2 linked regions of the Coturnix japonica genome follow. The protein of the gene in region 2 purifies or fractionates together with the protein of the main gene of each other region. This does not show direct contact. Links are inferred from orthologs where the notes say so. Each region holds a gene or a part of one and is shown on either strand. Other genes may lie near its edges. The genes, in order: CAPZB and TWF2.

Evidence for each region.
Region 1: the proteins of TWF2 (region 2) and CAPZB purify together in Homo sapiens (co-immunoprecipitation; 3 studies listed by BioGRID and IntAct, with this or other methods). This does not show direct contact. The link is inferred for Coturnix japonica from reciprocal best matches to the Homo sapiens genes TWF2 and CAPZB.

Annotation. Positions count from the first base shown.
Region 1 is NC_029536.1:4,083,839-4,087,643, forward strand, and holds part of CAPZB (F-actin-capping protein subunit beta), read right to left. Parts: intron 3,475-3,805; coding exon 3,358-3,474; intron 1-3,357. UniProt on the Homo sapiens protein: F-actin-capping proteins bind in a Ca(2+)-independent manner to the fast growing ends of actin filaments (barbed end) thereby blocking the exchange of subunits at these ends.
Region 2 is NC_029527.1:1,796,694-1,801,192, forward strand, and holds the start of TWF2 (twinfilin-2), read right to left. Parts: upstream 2,937-4,499; 5' UTR 2,831-2,936; coding exon 2,806-2,830; intron 1-2,805. Other genes in the region: PPM1M (protein phosphatase 1M), read left to right, coding at 2,993-3,210, 3,845-3,968, 4,134-4,388. UniProt on the Homo sapiens protein: Actin-binding protein involved in motile and morphological processes. Inhibits actin polymerization, likely by sequestering G-actin. By capping the barbed ends of filaments, it also regulates motility.

The sequences.
Region 1 (3,805 bases), on a different chromosome or scaffold from region 2:
CCAACGTCTTCCTCAGTGGACTGGCACTTCCTCACAATGCTCACCCAGGCTTAGTAAACACAGACGGGTTCTTTGTGCACAGCAGGAGCTCAGCAAGGCACCTGTTGGCCTTGCTCTTAAGGAGGGGGGCTCCAGAAAGCTGTTCAACAAAGTGCACATTTGATTGTTTGCCAGAAAGCTGGAAGGTTTCTTTCTACTTTGCATAAAATGAAACAGGACCATAGAATTGCTCTGAGTGAAATTAAAGCGCAGCCTGATGCAAGCACAAAGCATGGTCAAAGCAGCACGGTACCGTGGTGGACAGCACAAGTAATTGCAACACACACTGAGGATGGGACCTTAATGTCTGTCAGACAGAGAATCATGTGCCAAGCATCTGGCTCGAATCAGGATGGGGTGGGAGCTACCTGCTGCCATTGGAGTGTGTGCATGGTAACCAAAAAGCTGCTGGCATTTTTCATTCCCCTGTAAGCACCACTCCTTGTTGCAAACCGAAGGCGGTGTGTCCTGTCCTTTCCTCTCCTCTCAGACGTACAGCACTTCAATCTGTGGCCCCTCATTGACGCAGACAGCACAGAACATGCCGAGTTCCTTTCCAAATTCCAGCCTCGCTCCCTGTATTTATTGAAGCCTGCCAGTGTCAGATGTGAGCTGGGAGCTGCTTCCTCCATCCTGGCTGTGGTGCAGCAGCTCTGCGCTCTCTTGAACAGCATCCAGGCTTGTCCCCAGAACACAAGCTGCCTGGAGAGCACTCTAGTTGCAGGAACAGGCCTCTATCTGACTTTTCTTGCCTTCTGGGGCAAGACAGTAGCAATGGATATTGAATGTACAAAGCGAAAGCCTGAAGTTCTCATTTAGAAAACCATCAGGCTAAGTGAAGCTACACAAAGAGCTTCAGCCTCCCAAACCAGGACAAGCTCCTCAGTGTCTCACATCTCTCCCTCCTTATTCTGTCTACTTACAAACATAAAATGCTCTAGTCTCCCATTCCAAACAAAGAGACAAAACTAAAGGAGACACAGGACAGGGAAATGACTTCTGAGTAATAACTACCCAGAACAGAACTTGACATGGCCCCAGGTCAGGTATAATACTGAGATACACAGCATCTGGGGACAAGGCAGAGGAAAAAAAGGTTTTAGTCTTAAGAAATCTCTGCAACATTCAAGAAGAGCCTAAACAGGAGGATTTTAGGCTCTTACTTTCATATCCTTCCACAGTACCGTGCTGTCCGCTCATAGAACAAACAGGACTGCCTGACTGCTTGCACCCTGTGTCATCTGCAAACATCAGGACGGGGAATTACTGAGCAAGTGTTTCCATTTGAAGCTACAAATGCTCCCCATAGCATTTCAATGCGAGCCATGCCCAGCTCTTGGAAGCTGCCAGAGGTGGTGAATTAGGAGGCATTACATGAGCTGTTCCTTTGCGCCTGCTGCTGGCCACCAACTTAATCATTCCAGTCATCACTCGAAAAATACCCGATTTGCAGCTCGGAGGTGAAACTGGTTTCAAAGTAATGGCTCTCAACAGACTTCCCTTTCCAAGCACTGAAAGGTTCTCCCTGCCATCAGCATTTAAGCCAGGATATTACGAAACTTGTGAACACTTCAAAAGCCTGCACTGAAACACAAGGACATCTGCTGTTTGCATTTTAGGATCAAAGGTGGTCAAGTAGCTTCAATGTTGAGTTGACCAAAAACATGAACAATCTACTCTAGATAAAGGCACTTTGTAATGACGGTCAGAACAGCTTACTGATGCTGTCAGACAGTGACGTGTCATTCACATGATAACTACAACCTACTGTCAGTGTATGAGCTCACTGTAGACTGTATGAAAAGCCCAGCAAGAAGCAAAAATAGAACTGCTGTCCCATTAAGCGTATGGTGGCATCTGCAAAGCAGAGCTCTCCAGCCCAAAGCTAAATGCTAAAACTCAAGTTTCCATTGTTTGTGCAGGAGCAGTGCATCATTACCCCAGTGGCTCCTTTATGGTTACTTACATTGGAAGCAGGCCCCTGCTTTAATGCATCACATATGAATTAAATGATCTGCTGTTCAAATGATGACAGAAGCATGAATCTCCTCGCTAAAGCTGAGAGAGTGAAAGTCAAACTAAACAAGGCCTAGGAGTTCAGGCCAAGGTGTACTGAGGACACCCATCCTCAACAGACTCTTGTTTTCCTTGGCATATCTCTCACACACCATAAGTCCATGGCCAGAGTCAAGCCCTTGGCGTCCACTTCACAGCTATGATTTAAAGTATTAGGAAGGCCTGTGATTAAATATTTGTCCGGGTCACCATAACTCGAGTGTAATTACTGCAAACATTCTAAAAGAGTACGCAATGCTCAAAAACCATCTCCAGATGCTTCTTTTTCCCCTTCCTGTTATTTCTCCTATCAGTTTCTTCTGTAAGTCAACAAGGTGGAAAGAAAAATCACCCAGGTCTAGGGCAAGCTTCCATGTCTGCAAGAGTAACACAATTCAGTTCCTCCCGATGATCGTAGACCCTTTGTTCCCTTGCCTGACTCAAACCTGTACAAAACCACAGGCTACTTAACAGAGTCTGCATTGTCCTTTGTATCGAAAGCAACAGGCTGCCCTGGGAAGTCTCATAAAGGAGTTTTAGCAACTGCCAATCTCTCTAGTCACTCATGACCACACAATATGCCTCCTGTCCCCTGAGTTTATTACTCTTTTCGTGTCACTGACTTCCACAACCCAGATCTTAAACAACCCCAATTCATGCAGTACAGAGACAGCAACCTCTGGCAGGTGGCTGGGGCAGAGGCACCTTCAGGCAATGCACTCAGCTCTGCCAGAGCCTTTGACAGCAGTGCAGCCTAACAGTCACCATTCTGGCACCTTCCCTCTGAGAAATGGCTTTCTCAAGGGGAAGCCAAAGCAATTTGAGCTGGAATAAAAAGCAAATGCTTAGAAGACATGTCATTTTTTATCACTGTCCTGGTACTGCAGGACTAAAACACTAAAGAAGGATACAGGCAAATACTGAAAGCCTTTAAGAACAGAAGAACTGAAGGTCTAAGCACAATACAGGGCTGGTTGCAGTGGCCACAAATTAAAGACTTAAATGAACATCTAACCTCCTGCTGAATGTTTTGTATTTCTAATTGAAAGTTACACTGCCATCAAGCCAAATTCAAGGGGCTTCCTGGTAACCACACACTTGTGCCTTATATTCTTCAATGGAGTGCACATGCAGCACGAGAACAGACGTTGATCCAACACCTCACAAAATAAGCTTTCTGTTCCTGACTGAGGCTACCGGGTATATAAATAAGGAAAGGCATGCAGGGTCTGCAATGTGCACCGGCGCAGTATGCAGGCGTACCTGTCTGGTAAGGCTCCCGCCAAGGTTCATGGTACCAGAACCAGTTTTATTAGTCTGCAGCCACAGCATCACTGTGGAGGTCAGCTTGTAATGAGCAGTACGGCCGCTGGATTTCTCCTGCAAAAGGGAGGAAAAAGGAAAAACACAAAAGGTTACAAACCCTCCAGATACTACACAAGGTGGCTGAGCACAGAGGCTCCACGAGTAAAAGGACAGATGCATGTAACTGCAGTTACAGGGCACAGCCTGCCTATTAAAAACAAGCACAAGTTTGCCTATTTTCCCAGTTCTCCAAAAGCAAAATCTTGCTGGAGCAATTTAACCTCCCGTTACCTCGTTTTTATTACCTAATTAGTGATATTTATCTGTAAACCTTTATGTTTCTTAAGAGGGGGGAAAAAAATCATCTCAGGATCGCGAGTACAGAAAGCAACATACCTTCAATTCT
Region 2 (4,499 bases):
CTTGGGCAACCTGTTCCAGTGCGTCACCACCCTCTGGGTGAAAAACTTCCTCCTAAGATCCAACCTAAACCTCCCCGTCTCAGTTTAAAACCATTCCCCCTTGTTCTATCACTATCCAACCTTGTAAACAGCCATTCCCCCTCCTGTTTATACACTCCCTTCAAGTATTGGAAGGCCACAATGAGGTCTTCCTGGAGCCTTCTCTTCTCAAAGCTAAACAAACCCAGTTCTTTCAACCTTTTGATGTTGGGCTCTATTCTGAAGGAGGATTTCATGTCACTGAATCTCAGCCCACAACACACATCTGCACATCCTTGTCTGGGTACCTCCAGCCACTCATCCCATGAGCCATTTGCTTCCATGTGCCTGCTTGGAAACCATCTCCCCCCTATCCTGACACCTCCAATCAGTCTCACTCTGGGTATCAGACCAGCAGTGGTCTCATTGCATTTAGAAGCTTTCAACACTCTCTTTCCAAGGGACTTCCTCTTCTCCACTACTTTAAGAGGCTTTTCTTATTTGCACATCCTCAAAATTACAGCTCGAGTGCAACTTCTGCAAGGGTCAGAGCCTGCCTCTGTGCATTCTGAGTCATGGGGCTGTTTGCTTTGTGTTTTGCATATGCCCAGGGCACGTCTGCTCTTTGCTGTAAAGTGAGGCCAGGAACCAGAGCACTGATGCCCAGGCTGGAAGCAGCAATCGTTACCCACAGATGGGGATCAGCTCCTCCAGGCCAGCCCTGCAGCAGCTCCCTGCACAGACAACAGCAGCAGGGAGGTTTTCATTTCCCCTCCCATCTCTCAGCAGAAACCCCATCACCAGCACTCCTCTATTGCCTGCAGAGTGCACCTACAGCCAAGGAATCACAGAATCTCTATGGTTGGCAAAGACCTCTAAGATCACTAAGTCCCCCCATCTACCCTCCCCCCTACCTGCTCATGTCCCTCAGTGCCACATCCCCATGGTTTTGGAACACCTGCATGGATGCTGACCCCCCCAGTCCATCCAATAGGGCCATCTTCCTACTGGAGCTTCCTTCTCATTAGAGTCAACCTCAGAGCAGAGCCAGCAGCTCCCAATGGGGATGTGCAGGGGGCAGCTCAGCAGCCACAACACCGCTATCCCCCCCCCCACTTCCTGCTCCTTCTTCACCTCTCACTTCATTCTTACCCATGCAAGTCACATCCTAGATGGAAAAAACCCTTTGAGACACGTTTTCAACCCCACATTCCTGCCACCAACCACCACCATCACCTCCCTCTCCCTGGGACCCTTCATCTTCTTCCCCAAAGTCAGCTCACACAGTGTGATGCTCCTCCCCCCATGCCCGGCACTCGCCTGCTTCCTGCTGCTCGGGGAAAGGAGGTCAGCCGACTTTCCAAGGCACCCACAGCCAGCCTTCCCATCACTGCTTAGATCAAATTCTCCCTTCTGAGCTACCACCGTGAGTCAGGCTGCCAGCTGAGGCTGGGTGGGTTACCCACAACACATGAAGATGGTTAGCAAACAGCTCAGGCACTCCCAGAGGGGGGAGGAAGCAGCAGCAGCGTTGCTGTGCTCATCTTAGAGTGAATCAGCTCGTTGACAGGGGAAGGAATCATGGTGACCAATGTGCCAGGGCTGGGGAGAATGAAGGACCCCTTGATACGCCCAGCCAGCAGCTTCCAAGCAGTTTGGGAAGGGGATGAGATTGCCTTGCTGGGGCTGGCATGGGTCAAGAGTAAGAGTGGTGGTGCCAATGCCTCTCTTCCACCTCTGTTTCAAGCACCAGGACACAGCAAACTCAGCCACAGCATTGCACCCTGCCTGCACTAAGAGCTCAGAGTGCTGTGCCCGCTGATTTGGTTCTGGTTTTGTTGTTGTTGCAATTGGAGGAAAGCACAAAGAGGTCCTGAGCTTCAATGTGGCAGCCGAAGGCTTGGAAGCAATGAATGAGAACCCAAGGGCTGAAGGCCACCAGCACTGCCAGGCCAAGCAGGAGCAGCATCTGAGCATTAAACCACATCCCAACTGCTGCTCCGTGAGCACCCAAAGGGAAGGATGCTCCTGGCCATCCTGTAGCCAAGGGAACAATGTGCTGTGAAGGAACAGTGGCCATAAATTCACCCTAAATTCTCCATGCTCCCAGAGAGGCATTAGCCACGAGGGAGGCACAGCGAGCTGGCACAGCTCGCCCAGCATAGCCCAGGGCCGGCATCTTTCCCACCTCTGCTCGCATATCAATTGGGTTCCATCAATTATGCAGTGCCTCCGGTCCTGATTAACGCTGCTCACGGAGGTGTCAGGTGAGAGAGGGGGGAAACGCCACGGAGATGCACACCGTGCCCCCCCCCAAACCTTGGGGCTGCCTCTGGGGGTCCCCATACACATCCTTCCCCCTAAGCCGGCCTTCTTCCAACACGGCAATTCCATAGGCAGCACGACCGGCGTTGGTTCTGCTTACAACGCAGCCCTGCGGCGGCCGGCAGCACGCACAGCGGTGGGCTCGCACCGCTCCCACCCTTCTCCCAGCTGGATTTTGGGCTCCCAGCGGGGCTGCACCGCTCTGCCCGGTGCTGGATCGCAGGGGAAGGCCCCGCAGGCTGCGCAGACCCCATCGCGTAACGGAGCGATGTAAGGCACCTTAACAGCACCGAGCCGCGTTCGGGCATCGCGAGGAGACAAAGGATGCGCGAACCCCCGCAGCACCGCGCTCCGATCGGCCGCGCTCCCCCCGACCCGCTCCGGCAGCACAACCCGCGGTGCTCGCCCCGCACAGCCCGGAACGAGCGGCGGGACCCGACGGTTCGTCCCGGCCCAACGTACCGTGGATGCCGGTCTGGTGCGTCATGGCTCCGCTCCGCTCCGCAACGTCCCGGGCAGGAAACGGCACCGCCGCCCGCACCGACGCTTCCGGAGCCGGCACCGGGCGGAGCCGCCGCCCGCACCGCCCCCGGGAGGAGCCGGACCCGGAGCCGCGCCCGGTTCGTGCGGGGGGAGCCCGCGGGGTTCCATGTCCGTCGAGTGGTTGCGGCGGCTGCGGCGGGGCGGCCCCGCGGAACAACGGCCCGGAGGTGCCCAGGAGTCGGTACCGCGCTCCCCGCAGCCCAACCCGCCGCTGTACCGCCGGCCCAAGTTCCTTCGGGGCGGAGAGGAGAGTCCGAGGGGCGGCAGGGCCGTGCGGGGCACCGGGCCGGAGCGGCCGCTGCCGTGGAGTTCGGGTTATGCCGAGTGAGTGCGGGGCTGGGGGTGCGTGGGGTTACGGAGCTGCGGGCGGGGAGAGGAACCCCCGGGGCGTTGGGCAGGGCTGGACGCGGTGAGCCCCTGCCCCGGTGCGTTCCTTGCGCCGTGGAGGCAGCGGTGGGCAGCAAACCCTCTGTTCTTCGGTATAGGGAGCCCGCGTGTCCCCAGGAGATGAGCTGCAGGGAGCACAGTGATAGCAAAGGGAAAAACACAACCCTGTAAATCTCTGTTTGTCTCGGTTATGGGAATAGGGATGTTGTAGTGGGACCACTCTGTGACCTGGGGGCTGTGGGATTGCAATGTGCAGGAGGTGAGCTAAGCAGGGATAGAAGGGCCCAGCATTAAGGCCACAAGGAGCCCTGTCACCAGCCTGGCACAGCTGCCAGCAGGAGCTGATGGAGGCAGGGGTGCCCCATCACAGCTCTTTCCCCATAACTCACTGTATCCCAGGTGAAGCTTTTTCCCACTGCCGTGAAGGACGCGATGTTTAGATTCCCAACCAAGAGATCCTTGACTTTGAGAAGGGAGCAAGTGAGCACGGAGCTGGAAGGAAGGCCAAGGGCTCAGTCCCATGTTGGCCAGGCAGTGCTTCACCACTCAGCTGGAGTGTTTGCACCTGCAGGGTTATCAATGCTGAGAAGTCAGAGTTCAATGAGGACCAGGCGGCGTGCTGCCAGATCTCTGTGCGCAGGAGGGAGCCAGGACTGGAGGAAGACCAGGAGTGGCTGATCCTGTGCTCCACGCAGGTACGGCCCCTCTCTGAGTTCCCCCAGGTGCCTCCAAGGGGTTCCTCCATCAGCTGGGCTGGAAGAGCCGGGCAGAACACGTTCAGCACGTCCTGAGTGTGAGCTGCCATCTGCATGGCTCCTCTCTGCCTCTTTTGGCTGCTTAATCTCTCTTCTCCCTTGCAGTTTTTGACTGGTTACTACTGGGCACTCTTCGATGGCCACGGTGGCCCAGAAGCTGCCATCATTGCTTCCAACTACCTGCACTACTGCATCAAGCAGAAGCTGGAGGAGGTCGTGGGGGCCATCACAGAGGCCCATCCCCCCATGCACTTGAGCGGGCGCTGTGTTTGTGACAGTGACCCCCAGTTCGTGGAGGAGAAGCACGTCCACGCAGAAGATGTGGTGGTGGGAGCCCTGGAAAACGCCTTCCAGGAATGTGTGAGTTCTCTGTCACGCAGCCAAAGGTGGCTGAGGCTGGGCTTTCTCTCTGCCTGGGAGGCAAAGGGCTCCCTTACTCTGAGCTCTCTCATTAGGAAGTGGTCAGGCACT